3 linked regions of the Saccharomyces cerevisiae S288C genome follow. Changing the gene in region 2 together with the main gene of any one other region gives a genetic interaction. Each region holds a gene or a part of one and is shown on either strand. Other genes may lie near its edges. The genes, in order: EMW1, HGH1 and EFT1.

Region 1 (7,787 bases), on a different chromosome or scaffold from region 2:
CTTAACAACTGCACTCTCTGTTTAGCAACTGGAGTTTCTTCACCCATTGCACCATAAAACCTTTGCACGTTTAGCAATAACAGCTGTGCATCCTGTACATTCACGTTTGTATCCGGTTCAACATGGCCATTCATAAAAACAATTCCCTTATCCTTGACCAAATCAGAATGGAACTGCAAGGTAGTATGTGGCCTTGCAAATTCCTGGTGTAGTTTGTATTCTGCTAGGGAAGTCATCATACAATGTGTTGTTTGGGGTCCGACAAACTGCCATTGGATGTAGTGTAGTTCCATTCCCTGTTCTTCGTTCGGTTTTGCATCCTCAGATTGAACTTGTCTAGGAAGTGGCAACACGAATATAGGGTTATTCCTGGCATTTGCCATCATCTTATCATAAACGGAGACAGGAATCACAGCGCATAATGTATTATCTTTTTGTGCCCATCTTGCTCTCCAAAGAAACTCTACTTCCTGTTTCGATAAGTCCTTCAGTTTTCCAACATCCAAAAAAGAGTCCAATGTTTTGAAGGGAACTTTAGGAGCACTTGGATCGAGAGGACTTCTTGATTTCGTCATCAAATGCTTGGAGTTGTTATTTTCCATTTGAGTTTTTTGTTGGTAATCCTCTAGTTCTTTCAGGGGGTCGATTTTATTAAATTCCCGCTTCTTAGACTCTATAGTCTCTTTCAAATGATTTTTCAACTCTTCTATGCTGTTAAAACCTTGTTTTTGAGCCTCTTCCAAAAGTTTCTTTCTATACTTCTGCTCTGGGCTGGAAGAATAAAAACGAAAAACAGGAACTGTTCCAATTGCCTTGTTAAAAATGGGCGACAGCTGATTAGAAATATGGATTCTAGTGCCGATTTTTCTGGTTAGTCTCCACATAGTTATTCTTAAATCTCTTTTGTTCTCTATTTTCAAGTCTTGATAAGTTCTTCACATCCTTCGATTACGGCGTCAAAATAAGCGTTATTTCCATTCGGGTGAGTTGAACCATTGATAACAACATGGTTTAACGATACTTTGAAAGGTTTAGGCGGAGCCAACCATAATGGATGAATCGGTGGATCCTGTGGAGCTGCTTCTACGACTACTGATACGGCACAAACCTCATCTGAAACCATATGCCTACAGACAAGATAGCTGGCAAAGGGTGCTCGATGAGTACAACAGACAGACTGGGTCAAGATATAGACAATCAAGGACGTTAAAAACCAAATTTCGTCGACTGAAGGACCTCTTCAGCGCAGATCGAGCCCAATTCTCTCCTTCCCAGTTGAAGCTGATGGGAGCACTCTTGGACGAAGCACCAGAACATCCAAGACCAAGAACTAAATTCGGAAATGAATCATCTTCATCCTTATCATCATCTTCTTTCATTAAAAGTCATCCGGGGCCTGATCCGTTTCAACAATTATCATCCGCTGAACATCCGAATAACCACAGCTCCGACGATGAGCATTCAGGCTCACAACCGCTGCCCCTGGATTCAATAACGATTGGAATTCCGCCTACTCTTCACACAATCCCCATGATTCTGTCTAAGGATAACGACGTCGGGAAAGTCATCAAAAGCCCTAAGATAAACAAGGGTACAAATAGGTTCAGCGAGACAGTACTGCCTCCACAAATGGCTGCTGAGCAATCGTGGTCGGACTCTAATATGGAATTGGAAATATGTCTAGATTATCTTCACAACGAACTCGAGGTGATAAAGAAAAGGCAAGAAGATTTTGAGTGTAAAGTTTTAAACAAGCTCAACATAATTGAGGCTCTCCTTTCACAGATGAGACCACCCAGCCAAGGAGATAAAATATAAAAACTTCTATTAGATATGCTTGATTCATGTCCATATGTATCTATTTATACAAACATTACGTAATATACACAGATTATACATGAAAGGTGCTCTTCATATTTGGCTTCTTGCTTCCACTAGCCTATCCCAACCAGGAGAGTCATCCCATCTGCCTTTGCCTTTACTCATTAGAGCTTTGATAGTAGATCTACATTTGTATTTCCAGTCTTTGCAAACCAGACTGCCTGGCCCATATTTACCTTCCATTTCACCAAGTGATTCATAGGCAGCCACCAAATCTTCACAAGCATCCACTGTATCATTCCAAACCTTTTCTTCAACTTCTAAATCAGGATTGTGAGAAATGGCCCTATAAGCCTTCTCGTGGCATTCTAGGGCGGCCCATGGTCTCTTCCTCCAAAGTTCTACTCTTGCGACCAGTCGCCAACATCTTGCACTGGTTGTAATTACCTGAGGTAAAGTGTTACAGATAAACTCAGTACAGCTCTTTTGAAAATAAGATAATTGCTGCGGCTCCTCTGGATATTCACTAGTCACTAATAGTTCTACTAGTTTTTCAATAATTGGTAAGTCGATGGAACCTTCGCCAGATTTGTCCCTCCTAATACTGACTAATTGTTTACATGCAGTTAAGACATCCTCCCACTCATTCAACTTAACAGCAACAAGCATGTAATTCTCCCAAATTTTCCAGTTCTTTTGAGCGTCACATGAAATGGCTCTTTTCAAACAACTATAAGCTTCTTTCAATTTATCCATTTTCGTATATGCAGCGCTCAAATTTGACCATGAAAGAGCATGATAAGGGTCTAATGAAACACATCTGGTAAATGCCTCCGCAGCTATCTGCATTTTACCACATTGTAATCCAACGCAACCATAAAAATACCACGTTTCAAAGCTTAATGGGTATTGCCTTAACGAGTCATTTAAATGTTTCAAGGTAGCAGAGTAATTTGGTTGTGCTCCAGACTTTGGAGGAGGATTAAAGTAATACTTTGCAAGGGAATTTTTTGCGTTGACGTATTTTCCAATCTCCCAACTTTTTTCCCATAGGGATGGATCCTGTTTTATATCACCCAAAATGGAGTAAGCCCTGGCATCCGAATCATTTTCATTTATTCTTTGAAGAAGGATTTCTTCTGCCTTTTTTTCATCTCCAACAGCGGCATAACATAATGCAGTCTCGCATGCCATACCAAGTCTTTCATAAATTTCCACAGCGGACTTCAAAATACCCAGCGACATATATTTTTCAGCTAAGGTGGCATCCAATTGCCACCTAGGGATGAACGGCAGCTGGTGGATGTATGACAGCCTGCTAGCAACATTGATTTCGCTTGAACTTGGAACCAATTTACTCTTAATCTTCAAATCCAATTCTTCTACGAGGGATTGCATTTGTAAAAGTCCTCTTTCAATAGTTTTAGCCTTTGTTGTCTCAATAATTGACCTTTCCCATAATGATCGGGCGAAAATAGACCAATTTTTGTCACCGTTTTGATATAATATTCTAGAAAGCAAAGCAGTAAGTTCTTCTTCCACAAGAGGATCCTTGGCCGGAGTTGTGTTCTTTATGGTGTAAAGACGTAACAGCAACTGGATGTTGTCGTAATCAGATAGGGTAGGTTGATCGTTAGGGTTCAAATCCAGCAACAACTTTGGAATATTTTCTTGACGTAGTGCCAATGGCAATAGTTTATCTTCTTCATAACCTTCATTTAGGTCTACCTTTTGTCTTTTACTATAAATTTGCTCGTCTAGAGGTTCATCAGCAATGGACTCAAAATGAGGCTTCTCCAATAATAGATCGGACTCTAAAGCAAATGTTTCTGGTGTAGCAGATGTCGTTCTCAAAGCAAAATTTTGAAATGTGAAGGATTTGGCAAGAATGATCAAACCGGCATGAGCCTTTTGCTGATATTTAGTTCTAGTAGCGCGTGCACCCGTCATTACAAATTCAAAATTTGTTATCTTTTTCGCTCTGGTCAAGGATGGCAGGCACAAATGTTCTGTGTTGATGGCCAATGAACATTTGACATTCTCTAGATAGTACATTGCACAAAGTTCTCTTTTGAAATCTTCGTGAATACTCTCCGGTAATTCCTTAGTTATCGCATATGCAAGGTCAGCAGACTGATATATTGCAGATGCAACACTAGCTTGGAACCCAGAAGGTTCTGGAATCAGTGACAATTGCGTCAAAAGAGCTCTTGCCCACCACCAATAAGCTACAGCTAATAATCCAGGAGTAGACTCAGCAGAGATAATAGGTAGCGGAATTTCTTGATCCGGGGTAACATCAAATAAGCTTTTTTGGCCGGTTATCCTTTCAAGTAATAATAGTGATAAAACCAAATACAATGGATCATCCATAAATTCGTAGGCAGGCTGGCCCATAATGGCTAATGAGCGGGAAAGGGCTGTATTAACTGCTCCTATTTCAATTCCAGTTTTGCCAAACAAACCTGAGATTGCTTTCAACCTAGCTGCTGGGCCGGTGTAGTTATTTTGAATAAAGGTCTGTAAGAGGGCAATAGCCAAAAATAGCATCTCATTTTCTTGGCCCATTTTGAAAACCTCAACGTTAAGAAAGTCATTTAGAGCAGCAATAACACTAGATGTGGATATTTCTCCCGAAATACTAATTTTTCCCTTAAATTTGTCCACAAATTGCTGTACTAGCTGGTATGATTCACCACTGATGATATGTTCAGCCTTTTTCACATATGTCTGGTCGAAAGAACCACTTTTCAGAGATTCTACTTCTGCAGACAGCAATAATTTTGCATGCAATAACGTCTCCATAATTTTGCAACCACTAGTTTACTTTTTGCCTGGTCTGATAGCTTCTTTTTAGCAATTCCTTTGGCCTCGATGAGCTTCCATTTTCAATTTTCATCTTTTTTTTCACGATGCGAAGTTTCTTAGATAATTATCGCCATATACGAAACGCGTTAGGAAACGCGTTCTTTCCTTTATAATAAGCAATATTATATCAACTTAAGGTGGAAGTAATGTGGCAAAATCGATAGCGACTATCTAGAACAGGCTAGTTTAAGCATATACATAATGGCAAGTATGTATTAGTGCTAGGAATTGGAGGATTTGCTCTTTTCTGCATCATTTTTTTTATTTTTATTGGCGAATGTTAAAATTACTAACAATGGATGGGATTCCAATACAGCCTATCAACCATATAACGAATATTCATCAGTAACGGGCGGTGGCTTTGAGAACTCTGAGTCCCGCCCAGGTAGTGGGGAGTCGGAAACTAACACTAGAGTTAACACCTTGACACCTGTGACGATCAAACAAATTCTAGAGTCCAAACAGGATATTCAGGACGGCCCCTTCGTTTCGCATAACCAAGAACTTCATCACGTTTGTTTTGTAGGTGTGGTGAGAAACATTACAGACCATACTGCAAATATTTTTTTAACTATTGAGGATGGAACTGGTCAAATAGAAGTGAGAAAATGGAGCGAAGATGCAAATGACTTGGCTGCCGGTAACGATGACTCTTCTGGTAAAGGTTATGGTTCGCAAGTCGCCCAACAATTTGAAATTGGCGGTTACGTAAAAGTTTTTGGTGCTTTGAAAGAGTTTGGTGGTAAGAAAAATATACAGTATGCGGTGATTAAGCCCATAGATTCATTCAATGAAGTGTTGACGCATCACTTGGAAGTCATCAAATGTCATTCCATAGCCAGTGGAATGATGAAACAACCTTTGGAGAGTGCATCCAACAACAATGGGCAATCATTATTTGTCAAGGATGATAACGATACATCTTCCGGCTCCAGTCCGTTACAAAGAATTCTAGAATTTTGTAAGAAGCAATGTGAGGGCAAAGACGCTAATTCATTCGCTGTTCCCATTCCATTGATCTCGCAATCCTTGAATTTGGATGAAACTACCGTCAGAAACTGCTGTACGACCTTGACTGACCAGGGTTTTATCTACCCAACTTTTGATGACAATAACTTCTTTGCCCTATGAAAATATATAGATTATTTTTTTAGCATTTCTTAGTATTCGTTTGTGTATTTCTACTAGGTAAGTACCAAAATTTGCCGGAAATAGAGTGGAAAATGGAACCCGTTCCAAGAAGGGGTAAGATGCATGAATATTAAGTTGGTTGCATAAATATGCTATATAAAGTCCACTACAAAAAGTCATTTATTTTTGCCCGTAAGAATAAAGAACGAATCCGTCCTTATCTCTGACTTCAATGGGAACATTTACACGCAGTACGGGCTTCAATAATAGTTCCCAGTCGTATCTGGTTCTAGGTGTACATAATGAAAAATGTCTCAGCATTCTTATTTTGACAGCTTTGAATTTTGACAAATTTCTCAGGAAACACCAGAGGTTAATATTTGGAATATCTTTAAAATTCTCTGGATCTTGGAAATCATTGAAAAAATTTTCCAATGTCACATTTTGTAAGAACTCCTCCACATCTAAATCTCTATATTCGATGGTTCGGTTCTTCAATTTGATTAAACTATCTCTTAGGCAACGCCTTACAGAGTTGTTCCAATAGTAAGTGTGGTGAATGTCTGATTCAGGGCTCATTACTGTACTTAAATTTGGAACTGCATTAGCATTTGGTATGTTATCTCTTATGGAATTATTTTCGTAACCGATTAATGTTTCTTGATCGTTCTCGTCGCCAACATCCTCATCTGTCTCATCAACACTAGTAATTGTTCTTGCTAGATGTTCCCAAAACGATAGAGGGGATAAAGGATACACATTGGTAAAGGGGATATTGATTACGTTAATAGAAATATTTTTACTTGGAAGTCTCTCCCAAAGTAAGCGGTAATAATGGTAGAAAGAATGAAATTCAGGGATTCTTTGTCGTTGAAAATTTTGTAGCTGTGCCGCAGTTAACATGGCGGGCTTTTTGTTATTGTCTGGTGATGGGTTATTTGAAACATCATTTCCTGTAGTTCTAGAAATATAGTTCAGATTTAAGGACAATACAACTGAAGATGTCGGCGGAGGAGTAATTATCTTCGAATCTGATGGCGCTTCAAATAATGTTTCTGTCATGGAATTGCAGTCATCAAAATCATCTTCTGTATCCAAACTTCGCTGTTGGAAATAATATGATTCGCCGACTACCTGTTCGTTAGTGAAACATTTGCTATTACAATCAATTGTTAGATTGGATAACGATGGGAAACAACTGCATAACAATAAGTCGAATTTACTGTTAATCTTCAGTAAGGATAGATGTTTGACCATTTTAAAGTAAGAGTGAAACAAACGTAATATTCCATTTCCAGGAACTACATCACATGAATCTAAAGTAAGTGCAGTGATAGGAGACTGTAAACTGTACAGTTCATTATCTTCGTTCTTTAGAAATAGTGGTAAGAATTCCATTGGAGTATCTAGCGATTCGGTGTCTATCGTTACATTTTCTAGTTTAAGTTCATTAATTATGCCGAAACAGCAGAATAAACTCGGTCTTAGTACGAGCTTTTGGTGATGGCGTTGACGATTAAAGGTTCTTTGTCTTTTATTATTAGCTTTGATTTCCAGTATTTTCAACCTTGGCAGAGAATAATACTTGGATTCGTATTCTTTGACAAATTTTTTGGATAGTTGGAAAGTCCTCAAATCTTCGTTTGTGATGGATTGCTGGCCCTTGATTATTTTCTTGAAAAAATCTCTAGATCCATCGTTGAATACAGAGTACCATAAAGGAATTTTAAAATTCGGTTCCACATCACTCAGAATCACTCTGGTCAGGTTCGGTAGATAGTCTATAATATCAAGCATTAGCTCAATATAAGTATAATGGAAGTAGTTGCTTTCCAATTTATCAAGCAGTTTGATTCGTTCTGAAGTTATGATGGGAGTCTCATCGTTTAGTCTGATGTTATTCAGTTTTTTTACGTCTTTATCATACGAATCGAGTTTATAAGATCCAGCAATAATAGAATCTTGGC
Region 2 (4,932 bases):
CGGTGTCGAGGCCGATGCTGGCAGGAGCAATGTTAAAGTAAAGGACGAAGATCCTAATGAATATAATGAATTTCCCTTAAGAGCTATTCCAAAGGAGGATTTAGAAAACATGAGGACACATCTTTTGAAGTTTCAGAGTAAAAAAAAGATAAACCCTGTAACAGACTTCCATCTTCCCGTAAGACTGCATAGGAAGGATACGAGAAACTTGCAGTTTCAGCTAACAAGAGCAGAAATTGTTCAAAGGCAAAAAGAAATTTCTGAGTATAAAAAAAAAGCAGAGCAAGAAAGAAGTACTCCTAACTCGGGTGGTATGAATAAATCAGGAACGGTCTCGCTCAATAATACTGTTAAAGATGGGTCTCAGACACCTACTGTTGATTCAGTTACTAAAGACAACACGGCCAACGGTGTGAACTCCTCCATTCCTACTGTAACTGGCTCTTCTGTCCCTCCTGCTAGTCCTACTACTGTATCCGCCGTTGAAAGTAATGGACTGTCAAATGGTTCAACTAGTGCAGCTAACGGTTTGGATGGCAATGCATCTACAGCGAATCTAGCTAACGGAAGGCCGTTAGTGACAAAACTAGAGGATGCAGGCCCAGCTGAAGACCCTACTAAAGTTGGAATGGTCAAGTACGACGGAAAAGAAGTGACTAACGAACCGGAATTTGAAGAAGGAACTATGGATCCACTAGCAGATGTGGCACCAGATGGAGGCGGTAGGGCCAAACGAGGAAATTTGAGAAGGAAAACTCGTCAATTAAAAGTTCTTGATGAGAACGCCAAAAAGCTGAGATTTGAGGAATTTTATCCATGGGTTATGGAAGATTTTGATGGGTACAATACATGGGTGGGTTCTTATGAAGCAGGTAACTCAGATTCTTATGTCTTGTTAAGTGTAGAAGATGATGGAAGTTTTACCATGATTCCTGCTGATAAGGTTTATAAGTTTACCGCAAGAAATAAATATGCTACTTTGACCATTGACGAAGCAGAAAAAAGAATGGACAAAAAAAGTGGTGAAGTGCCACGTTGGTTGATGAAGCATTTGGATAATATAGGTACAACTACAACTAGATATGACAGAACAAGAAGAAAGCTTAAAGCCGTCGCTGATCAACAAGCTATGGATGAAGATGATCGTGATGACAATTCAGAAGTAGAGTTAGATTATGATGAAGAGTTTGCCGATGATGAGGAGGCACCTATTATAGATGGTAATGAACAAGAAAATAAAGAATCAGAACAAAGAATCAAGAAGGAGATGCTGCAAGCTAATGCGATGGGGCTTCGTGATGAAGAAGCTCCTTCCGAAAACGAAGAAGATGAGTTATTTGGGGAAAAGAAGATTGATGAGGATGGTGAAAGAATTAAGAAGGCATTACAAAAGACAGAACTTGCAGCACTATACTCATCGGATGAAAATGAGATCAACCCATACTTATCTGAATCCGATATTGAAAACAAAGAGAATGAATCGCCCGTTAAAAAGGAAGAAGATTCGGACACTCTATCCAAATCCAAGAGATCTTCTCCAAAGAAACAGCAAAAGAAAGCTACAAATGCGCATGTGCATAAAGAGCCAACTTTGAGGGTGAAAAGTATTAAAAACTGTGTCATTATCTTGAAGGGGGATAAGAAAATACTGAAAAGCTTCCCAGAGGGAGAATGGAATCCACAGACGACAAAAGCTGTAGATAGTAGTAATAATGCATCGAATACAGTGCCTTCGCCAATCAAACAAGAGGAAGGCTTGAATTCTACAGTGGCAGAAAGGGAAGAAACTCCAGCGCCTACAATAACAGAAAAAGATATCATCGAGGCTATTGGTGATGGCAAAGTCAATATCAAAGAGTTTGGAAAGTTCATCAGAAGAAAATATCCTGGCGCAGAGAATAAAAAGCTAATGTTTGCCATTGTAAAAAAATTGTGTCGAAAGGTTGGCAATGACCACATGGAATTAAAGAAAGAGTAGGTTAGTTTATAATGTTATGTACTTAATAGGTTATTTAGTTTTCGTTCTTTTCATTCTTTCCTTTTTCTTTCCATTTAATCTTATGTAGTTACATTATACTGTCATTTTAGTTGCAGTAAGTATACTTTTTTATCTAGTCTTTTTTTCTGCCTTTTTTTTGAGAAAAGACTCAGAATTCTACTAAACTCTAATATATTGTTATTTCTGTATTATACAATTCTATGCTATGTGAACTGTCCTTGAAAGTGACCTAGGCCACTTCGACAATTTCATCTTCTTCGTCGTCATCTTCTTCTTCTTCACTCTCCTCCTCTTCTTCCTCTTCCGCATTCTTTGATGGCATCTCTTCCACTGCTCCCGCACCTGGCTCGCCTCTCATTAACATATTAACAATTCTGTAACATAATTCACCAATATCTTCATTCTCAACGTTTTTATGCAGCTCCCTCACTAGTGGATAAACGGACTTGTCTCTTAAGTATTCTCTTCCAGCATGCGTTGTACATAGCAAAAGAATACTTTCTAAATGACAGCATATAATTGCAGGAATCGGGTCTCTTTCCTTGTCCTCTGGTAATAATTGAAGTTCATCTGGTAAATTGAACATATCTTCCTCATCAATTTCAGAATCTTTAGCACTAGCAATAGGTAGCAGGATGTAAGGCAACAAGTTTATTTTTTCATCTTTGAGTAACCTTTCATGAGTTTCAGAATCAAATAGGGAATTTTTAATTGTGGAAGCGACACCTTCTCTTCTTACCTTTGCATCATATTTTTCGGTAAATACTAGCAATTTTGAAATAGGAACAACCCCATCGTATTCCTGCTCTTCAATAAAATACATCCTGCCCAATTTAAACCTCGAGATATCCGCAAAAAAAAAGGCTAAATAATTGAAACTGGCATATTTTGTTAATTTTTTATCATAACCCTTAACAAAGCAATCCATTAAACAATCCATGGCTCTCAAACTTTTGAAAACTTCTTTATTTAAAGCTGCTAACTTCAAACCATCATCGACCTCCTCACCGCTTGAATTCCTTTTGATATTCAGAACAGCAAGAATGCCGTCATCCTTGGCTAAGTTGCTTAATAAGATACACATTATATCGGCATTTGGATTGGTTAAATCGACAATTTTCCAAACCAAAAATTTTAAGAACTTCTTGTCATCGCTCAATATAATATTTCTTACTAACTTGTCTTCAGATAAATTGACCAATATAGTGACACCTTGCTGAATAATAACACGGGTGCCGTGTTCTGGATCCATGATCATTTTTATTATATCCTTAATGGGTCTGTAGCTATCATTTTTGAAAACTTTTGAAGTGGGACCAGCACTAAATCCAACTAGATTATCAATGGCAATCTGTCTTACGGCAGGTTGTGGTGAATGCAGAAATTCCACTAATTCATTCAATTGTGAAGTCATCACTCAATTTTTTGTTGATTTTTTTGAGCTATTTTTAATTTTTAAATTAAATTGATACCGTTTTAAGAAGAATAAACTTGTCGTTATTAGAGTAGGTGCGTCATAAATTGATGGATGAGATGAGAGAGCTCAATATGAAAAAATGAAAAAAAAAAAAATTTGAAAAAGCCCTTCGAGGAAGAATAGGGAAAAATCTACAATAATAATTATCGTCTGGGGTGATAACAGAACACATCGAAAGGTAGCACTACCAGTAACATCCCAATTGGCTCTGCAGCTATTAGATGAAATATACTGCGAATTGCGAATCAAGACATCTATTTTTTATTCTTGTTAGTTTTCGCGGTAACAAGTGGAGCAATTGCTACATACTCGATGTATGAAGAGCTTCAGTAAAATAATATCATAACATTATCGCCATTTTTTTGGTACTTGTTTTTCCATAAGTGACAGATGTCAAGATTAAAAAAGAATATATTTACTCAACCTGAGAACCTGCTAGTTTTATATTACCTTTTATATATTAATGTTACAATTGGCTCTACCTGAAGTTGTGTTGTCATTGCTATGGAATCTGGCAGGACACCAAAAAGTCACCTATGCGGGAGATGAAGGCATATTTATTCACTAAAATCTCCTTGACGGTTTCCCCTTATATTGAAAATGTGATAACTCCTCTTCAATGCTTAGAATTACGTTTCTTAAGTGATTTTCTGCGTGCTGTTCCAGATGGCTTTCTATCAAATTCCTTATTTCAACAATCTTTTCAGTCATCGGCAAAGCTTGATTGGAAGCTTGACCGCTATTTAACAGTAAATCAAATATAACGCCCCATATTTCTTTTTTCCAATACCTTTTGAATGGGTTCTTCAATTTGCATCGTCCATTCTGCAGCTGGATTGTTTCTATGAATTTTCCAAAAAGCATCGAATGTATGACGCCTGCTAATCCATAATAATCCGCTTCATAACTCCATGGCTTGCCCGCACGCATTTCCCAGCAATCTTGCTGATCAGCCTTCCAATTTGATTTGAATTTCGTTCCAGGTGGTAACAGTGTCATATCAAATGATCTACCGAAATCTATTAAATAGATTCCCTTGTTTTCCCAGCCATCCTCTCCATTGCGCATATAATGAGCACCCAGGGGTTCGCCTGGTTTTTCTAATCTGATCATGCAGTTATCTGGTTTCAAATCGCCATGTATTATTCCCACTTCATGTATCTTTTCAAGTACTTTCATTAGCTCGACAGTGATAAACATGCACAAATATTCATCCATTATTCCGTTGCCGTCAATTGCCTTTTCCCGTTGTAAATTAATTAAATCCAAGACCGTACCTTGACTGGCGTAGTTTAAAACAAGGTAGCTCTCATCAAGGAACAAGTGTAAAGCACTAGCGTTGATTATTGACTTTAATATTGTGCTCTTCCTCAACCTAAACTCCACTTGGCTCATTATGTAATATTCCCATACACTTGCAGGTTTTTCTACTTTCAACGCTCGCAGATGTCCTTGA
Region 3 (7,408 bases), on a different chromosome or scaffold from region 2:
AGTTTCTAAAGTAAGGTCAGGATACTCTTTGGATAGTTCTTTGGCAACATTAACGAATAAACCATCAGCTAATCTCTGGATAGTAGATTTATGTACCACAATAACTCTTGGTCTGCCGATGGCTCTTGCATATTCAAAAGCGTATCTAATGACTCGCTCAGAGGCATCTCTTGTGATCAGTTTAATAGATTGAACAACGCCAGGGCAAACTATGTGTTCGATACCAGAATATTCACCTTCGGTATTCTCTCTGATAAGAACTAAATCAACGTTTTCGTAAGTGGTCTTAAAACCTTCAATAGACTTTGCGGGACGAACGTTGGCAAATAACCCAAATGTTTTTCTCAATGTCAAATTCAAAGATCTGTGACCTTTACCAATAGGTGTAGCTAGTGGACCTTTTAGTGCAACCAGGTTTTTTGTGATAGATTGTACGGCAGGGTCAGGAATGGTCGTTAATCCGTTGACAAAGATAGGGCTAACATCACAAGATTCCCATTCTATGGGGACGTTTGCTGCACTAAAGATTTTCTTTACAGACTTGGAAATTTCAGGTCCGATACCATCACCTTCAATGAACGAGACCGTGTATTTGCCGGTAGAAGGGTTAGGTTTGCCGGTATATCTTCCGATTGAAGGTTGCTTTACAGTAGCCAAAAACCTCCTCGAGGTGTTTCTAAAAAAAGTATTTCTCAACATTATTAAAAAATATTATAATTGTTGTTCGTTCCCGATCTGTATCTTATTATCTACCAAGGTAATTCAGGTTCAGAAAAAGTGTATCCAATAATGTCATGCACTTGGAATATATATTTATATAAATATGAATAATAAATGAAAAAGAAATAAGAAAAGAGGAAAACTTTAGAAGGAGGGTTTTTCTGATATGACTATGATGAGAAACTAAAACCTTAGGGCCTATAATAAGGGACCTATGAGCTTTTCAATAACTTATATATTCTTTAACCAAACAATGGAAGTTACAGAAAATAGGAACTGACCAACCAGAGCGGCCCGTGTCATGCCCCCCCTTGCCGAGATGCGGACCGAGATTGCTGAAAGAAGCGCCGAGTATCGCAAAAGGCCCCTGGCGGGGCAACGACAATTTCTTCGCCGAACCTCGGAATCGACTAGCAGATCACAGTGCTTAGGAAGCTAAGGCTGCGTTCTAGAAGGGCTAGTGAGTCTTCTCAACCATGACTGTCGTTGTTTGTGTTTGGTTTTATGTTCACCTCTAGGAACTCTTTCTGTAGGGTCTTTGATGCCAGTATTGCTGCTGTTTCCAACGTTCCCAAGTAATTTACTAAGTCTGGGAGAAAGGGACTCTGCACTCAATGTTCTACCTTTAAAGGATCTCGGTACAGAAAGCCCATTGTTATCAAAATCTATTGGGCTAGGAAACAGTGCATGATGATGATGATGATGATGATGTATGGTAAAATTGTTGGAGTCAGAAAGTGCACGTGACCTTGGAAGCATATGGTCATCTATTGAAGGGTGCACAAAATCTTCTTCATCGGAGTCAATAGCCATTTCAGGAACGGTAATGTTGTTAAACTTTGCTACTGTTCCTGCATGCGGCATGGTGTCCTTATTCGCTTTTTCCGTATTCGGTATTATATCTGAAGCGTGTAGTATGAGGAATTCGATGACAGTTCTGGAAGCCTCATACTCTTTCGGGCACATTTCATCCTTGGGATGAGACAAAAGTGAGGGTTGTACGATGGCCGCTAAATTGCTTGCTGACATTAAATTCTTCTTTTCATTTCTTGCAAATAAATTCAAGAGCGCGGCTAAATAAAGTATTAAATGGCGATTTTGTTGTGGTAAGAGCATATAAATATCTTCGTAGTCCTTAATGATTTGTTCTTTGTGCTCATTTATTTTTGGGTTTTCTAATATTGGATTTCTAAAAATGTCGTATAATGCTAGGGGAACCAAAGGCTCACTTAATGAGTTCAAATATCTTTTTAATAAAGTTGCAATGTCATGAACATTGAAATCACACCATCCTTCAAATTTACGACCATAATCGGGCGGTTTAGAGAAAACAGCTTGTAGCTCTCTAACACGTTTATTGCTTCCCGCAATACGGAAAATTCCTGTTGTGTCTAATGCATTCTCTTTTAGGTATTTCCCACTTTTTGCTATTACCACCGGTATGGAACCAATTTCATTTGTACTTTTTTGGATAATTACTTCCTCTTGAGCAACTTTCAGTGATTCCTCGAGTGAGACGCCAAATACTTTACCATCAAATTCGTTTTGCAAATTAGTAAAGGTGTCCCTATCCTTCTTGCCCTCAACAGAAGACATTGAAGATGACCTATTCTGTGGAGAACCCTCTTCAGAAGAAGGTGTAGAAAGTAGATTCATGTTAAACATTCTATTTTATGTTGTGTAATAAGATATGTCCAGAAATATACTATGGTTATTTATGTACTCTTTCCTGTGTACGCGTTTCGATTATTTTGCAGGTTATATTATATACTGCTATCACATGCTAAAACAAGAGTATCTAACAATGGGAACACAAAGCAAGTATTGATTTACTCATTCCAGTTGTGTAATTTTCTTCTAAAGATGTACTTAAATAAGAAGAAAACAATGATTGTCTTCGACCTCAACGCCTCGAACCAACGCTTTCCCCAATAGCGAGAGAAAGTAAGTAACCGGAAAATTAATTACCTCTTTCTTTCACCTGCAGGGGCTGAGGTGCTTCTGTTAGTGCGCCTCTAGAAGTATCGGCCATAATGAGATATATACTTTGGTTGCCCCTCCGGTTTTGAGGGAGTTTTAGCCCGATGAGGCTGGTCCTCCCCTCCAAGGATTTTTTGTATTTCCTATTTCGCTCTAATTATAGAAGCACCAACATACGGCGGGGTATAAACCAAACAATAGCCGCGGAAGCCCAATCTTCTTCTCCTTTTTTCGTAAACGGATAAAAAGCTATGACCAAGAGCCAGGTAAGTTATACGTAATACTACCTCAGGACCGATGTCATTAATGAATTATAATGGTTTTTAATAGTTTTTTCCATAGTATATCTAACGGGGTGGTGATACGTCGTAATAGTCAAGAAGTTGCCGTTCCTCCCCCTCTACAAAGGGGGCGGTAATACGAAAAGGTCCATTTTTATGATGGGTTCGATTGTAAACATTCGGAATATAACTATATGACAAAAATGTGTAAGAAAATAATATATAAGTCTATTACCATACTATTTTTATTACGACAAAATTTTAAAGCAGAGAATAAATGAAAAAGATCATAAGGCGGTAAGGTTTGCTCTTACAGAACCACCTTTTCTCATTTAGACTTCTTACAATTTGTCGTAATATTCTTGCCAGCCTGGAACTTCTTCCTTCATACCGTGTCTCTTACGAGCAGCAAGAACAATTTCACCAGCCTTAGAGGTTGGGTCCAATGGGTCAGAACCTAAAGTGGACCAATGGTCGAAAACCATTTGTGGGAAAGCTTGACCACCGGTAGCTTGTCTCAATTCACCAGTGAAACCGAAAGATTCGTTAACTGGCAAGTAGGCCTTGACGGTAAACAATGGAGTACCTGGTCTTTGTTCTTCAGAAACGACTTGACCTCTCTTCTTGTTTAAGACGGAGTAGATACCACCGACGGCTTGTTCTGGACATTGAATTTCGACCAAGAAAACTGGTTCTTGGATCTTTGGATCAGCCAACAAGAAACCGGCGTAAGTAGCTCTTCTCATGGTTGGGATGATTTGACCACCACCTCTGTGGATAGCATCGGCATGTAAAGTAACATCCAAAATGTTAACTCTGACAGATCTCATTTCTTCACCGAAAATTGGACCTTCCTTGGTAGCCCATTGGAAAGCAGCAACAACGGAATCCTTGATTTCGTGCAAGTATTGGACAGCCTTAGTTTGGTCAATAACCAAGTTTGGACCGTTACCGTCTGGACCGAAACACCAGATCTTTCTGGCATCGGTGACATCCCAACCGTAGTCGTCAGCCATGATTCTAGCTCTGGCCTTGAAATCATCTCTTGGGTTGATGATACCGTTTTCAATAGCCAAAGAGACTTCTTCGTCAATTGGTTCAGCCTTCAAGTAGATTCTGTTATGCTTGTTTGGAGACTTGGACAAAGCAGTTTGAGAAGATTCACTTTCAACAGTTTCTCTGTAAGCGACAACTGGTGGGGAGATCTTCAATGGAACACCAGCGTGGTCGTGTTCCAAATCTTGCAAACAAATTTCCAAATGCAATTCACCGGTACCAGCAACGATATGTTCACCGGATTCAGACATATAGGTCAAGACACATGGATCAGACTTGGACAATCTCTTCAAACCTTCGACCAATTTTGGTAAGTCGTTAGCGTTCTTGACTTCGACAGCGACTTGCACAACTGGAGAGACAGAGAATTTCATGACCTTCATGTTGTGAGCAGTTTCACTGGTGGTCAAAGTACCAGTCTTCAACAAGAATTGATCGATACCGACTAAACCGATAATGTTACCGGCTGGACAGTCATCGATTGGTTCGACAAATCTACCCATCATCAAAACAACTCTTTGAATGGCCTTGATGAACAAATCGTCCTTCTTACCTGGAACGTAGTTTGGACCTTGGATTCTGACCTTTTGACCGGACTTAACAGTACCGGCAAAAACTCTACCGAAGGCGTAGAATCTACCCTTATCAGAGGTTGGCACCATCTTGGAGACGTACAACATCAAATCAGCCTTTGGATCACAGTTCTTGATAGCAATACAGTTGGCATCGTCAGCTGGACCTTCGTATAATTGTTCAGCTCTGTAGGCTTGAGCAGTGACTGGAGATGGCAAGTGCAAGACAATCATTTCCAATAAGGCATCGGCAGCTGGCAAGAACTTTCTCATAACAACCTTCAACAAGGCCTTACCTTCCAAGTCCTTTTCGTCACCCTTCAAGACAATTTCCAACTTTTCTAGCAAAACTGGAATTTCGTCTTTCTTGAAGTTCATGATAGCAGTGAATAATCTGAAGATTGGGTCCAAGATGAACATGTTGAAAGCTCTTTCCAATGGCTTACCTTCAGCATCAGTGTCCTTGTTGGTCCACTTCTTGGTCTTTGGGTTGAAGAAAGAGTCACCCCATAATCTGTCCATCATCTTGGCCTTGTCGACACCGAATTTCTTAGCATATCTGGTGGCGAATTGACGGATAGTGAAAGCCCAACCGTGCAAACCGGAACCGAAGGCAACGGTACCTCTGGCTGGGTAAACTTGGACATCACCCAAAACTTCATCGGCGTAGGTGGAAACGATGACGTTAACGGATTCAACAGTTCTGGCAAAGGTTTGGTATAAATCTTCCTTAGAAACTTGCAATTCCAACAAAGCTCTGTCGACCTTGTTGATAACAACAACAGGCTTGATTCTTTCACCCAAAGCTTGTCTCAAAACAGTTTCGGTTTGGACACAGACACCTTCAATGGTGTCGACGACAACCAAAGCACCGTCAGTGACACGTAAAGCGGCAGTAACTTCAGAGGAGAAGTCAACGTGACCTGGAGAGTCGATCAAGTTGATCAAGAAGGAGTTACCGTCGGTCTTTTGCTTGATTTCCTTGACATCTTCGTCAGACATTTCAGAGTATAGAGAAATAGCGGTAGACTTGATAGTGATACCTCTTTCTTGTTCATCCTTTCTGGTATCGGTGAAACGAGCTTCACCAGCCTTAGCAGCGGAAATAATACCGGCTCTTTGGACCAAGGAATCGGTCAAAGTGGACTTACCATGATCGACGTGAGCAATAACGGACATGTTACGCACATTGGTAACTTTGTCCATTAAAGAACGCATTTGGTCAACAGTGAAAGCAACCATTTTTATCTGTTATTAAAAATTCTTGGGTGCGTAGGTCTGGCTTTCTGGCAAATGGGGTTAAGTAAAAAAACCAGTGAAGCGTTTAATACAACAGTAGTATGCAATTGAGATTAATTAAAGGAAGGCTCATGGCAAAAAAAAATTTTCTAGGTGAGATTTGAAAAAAAATTTTAAAAGTGCAACACGGAAGTTTACCCGGGATTAATATCAACTAAAGGAAAAAGATCACCTTGTTCAAAGGTATGAATTTTCTACTTTATATACGTATTATTTAGTGGACATGCCCAAAAGTGAAGCAGCATGGCGCGCATTCAGTGATGTAGTGTCTGAGTCCTGAGAGTTGTACCCATCGTCTTCAGTGAATAGTTCATCATCAAATTCGGTATGAGCGATCTTGTTGATGGGGATTTGACTTTTGCGGTTGCTCTCTCCCGTCCAACTGTCCCCTTTAAGGGTTTGAGAAGTATCGGAGTTGTTGTTTGAGACAGCATGGCGTCCTAGACGTGACAAACCTCCGTTTTCATCAGCTTTTCTGATATCAGAACGTACTCGTTCTAGTAACGTCAGCTTCTTTCTTTCATACTCTATCTTTCTTAGTGTAAATTCTTTGATCGAGCTTCTTATCCATTCTTCATACCAGCTAATCCACTGTTTTCTCTCGATAATCATGTTGGACGTGATTCGTTGAAGCTTAAGGGTCAAAACTTGTTCGTTTTTAGCTGCAGCTTTCAACTGACGTAGTGCTTCATCGATTTTCATAGGGTTAATATCTCTTCTTGACCGGAACCTGCGTGCTTGTTCCTGTTTCGCCTTTGAATTCTGCTGTGCCTGTACTAGATTTCGCATGATAAAATGCCTGTTGGTCAATGCTTCCTTCACGGCATAAGCATCTCTGACAATCCACTCTAAACCATCGTACAATGTCGCCATGTCCATGGTTGCTATAATGCTATCAATATCACCCACAGCAGTCAATATTTTACCGTATCTTCTGTAAAGTTTATTGTGCTCATCTAGATTAACGAAATCCTGGCCGAAGGCATTTTCTTCTTGAACCATCATCTTGCGATTTCTGGAAACTCTTAGCAGTTTTTCTTGCAAGCTCTGAGAAACAACATATATAGACTTGACTAATGGCCGGAATTCTGCTAATTCTGTGATTTCATCATATGGAGGTGCTAATTGTTTCAATGTTTTTCTTTTCAACCCAGATGCGAGTGATTTGGACTTGTTGATGGGTGTGTACGTATTAAAGTCACTTTCAATGAAAAAGGCCACTTCTTCATTCCGAATAATTAAGGGGTCTTGCGATAGCCTGTTAAACCAAAGTTGGAAATTTCGCGTTACTTTCATCCTATCTTCTTCGCTATTAATTCCGAATGTAGTATACGCAGAGGGAAGAGTAGGAACAAAAGATTCCTGAATGGCAACATTCAGATATTTGAACAATTGGTGGAATTCTTCGTATGATTTTTTGACATTCTTGTATTGTTGTTTGCGAAATGTTGGCAAATTTGTGGAGCAATCAAATATAATAGTCGGATTCTCTTTCTTACC

Evidence for each region.
Region 1: mutations in HGH1 (region 2) and EMW1 impair growth when combined (synthetic growth defect), as found in Saccharomyces cerevisiae (one study listed by BioGRID).
Region 3: mutations in HGH1 (region 2) and EFT1 impair growth when combined (synthetic growth defect), as found in Saccharomyces cerevisiae (2 studies listed by BioGRID, with this or other methods).

What each region holds. Positions count from the first base shown.
Region 1 is NC_001146.8:43,397-51,183, forward strand, and holds EMW1 (tetratricopeptide repeat-containing protein EMW1), read right to left. Parts: upstream 4,627-7,787; coding exon 1,912-4,626; downstream 1-1,911. Other genes in the region: ATP11 (Atp11p), read right to left, coding at 1-884; DAL82 (Dal82p), read left to right, coding at 1,051-1,818; RFA2 (Rfa2p), read left to right, coding at 4,891-4,897, 5,006-5,820; putative SCF ubiquitin ligase complex subunit SKP2, read right to left, coding at 6,001-7,787. UniProt on the Saccharomyces cerevisiae protein: Required for the maintenance of the cell wall integrity.
Region 2 is NC_001139.9:868,004-872,935, forward strand, and holds HGH1 (Hgh1p), read right to left. Parts: upstream 3,414-4,932; coding exon 2,229-3,413; downstream 1-2,228. Other genes in the region: transcription factor IIF subunit TFG1, read left to right, coding at 1-1,978; protein kinase BUB1, read right to left, coding at 4,041-4,932.
Region 3 is NC_001147.6:573,541-580,948, reverse strand, and holds EFT1 (elongation factor 2), read right to left. Parts: upstream 5,852-7,408; coding exon 3,323-5,851; downstream 1-3,322. Other genes in the region: isocitrate dehydrogenase (NAD(+)) IDH2, read right to left, coding at 1-699; GTPase-activating protein BAG7, read right to left, coding at 1,156-2,385; retromer subunit VPS17, read right to left, coding at 6,119-7,408. UniProt on the Saccharomyces cerevisiae protein: Catalyzes the GTP-dependent ribosomal translocation step during translation elongation.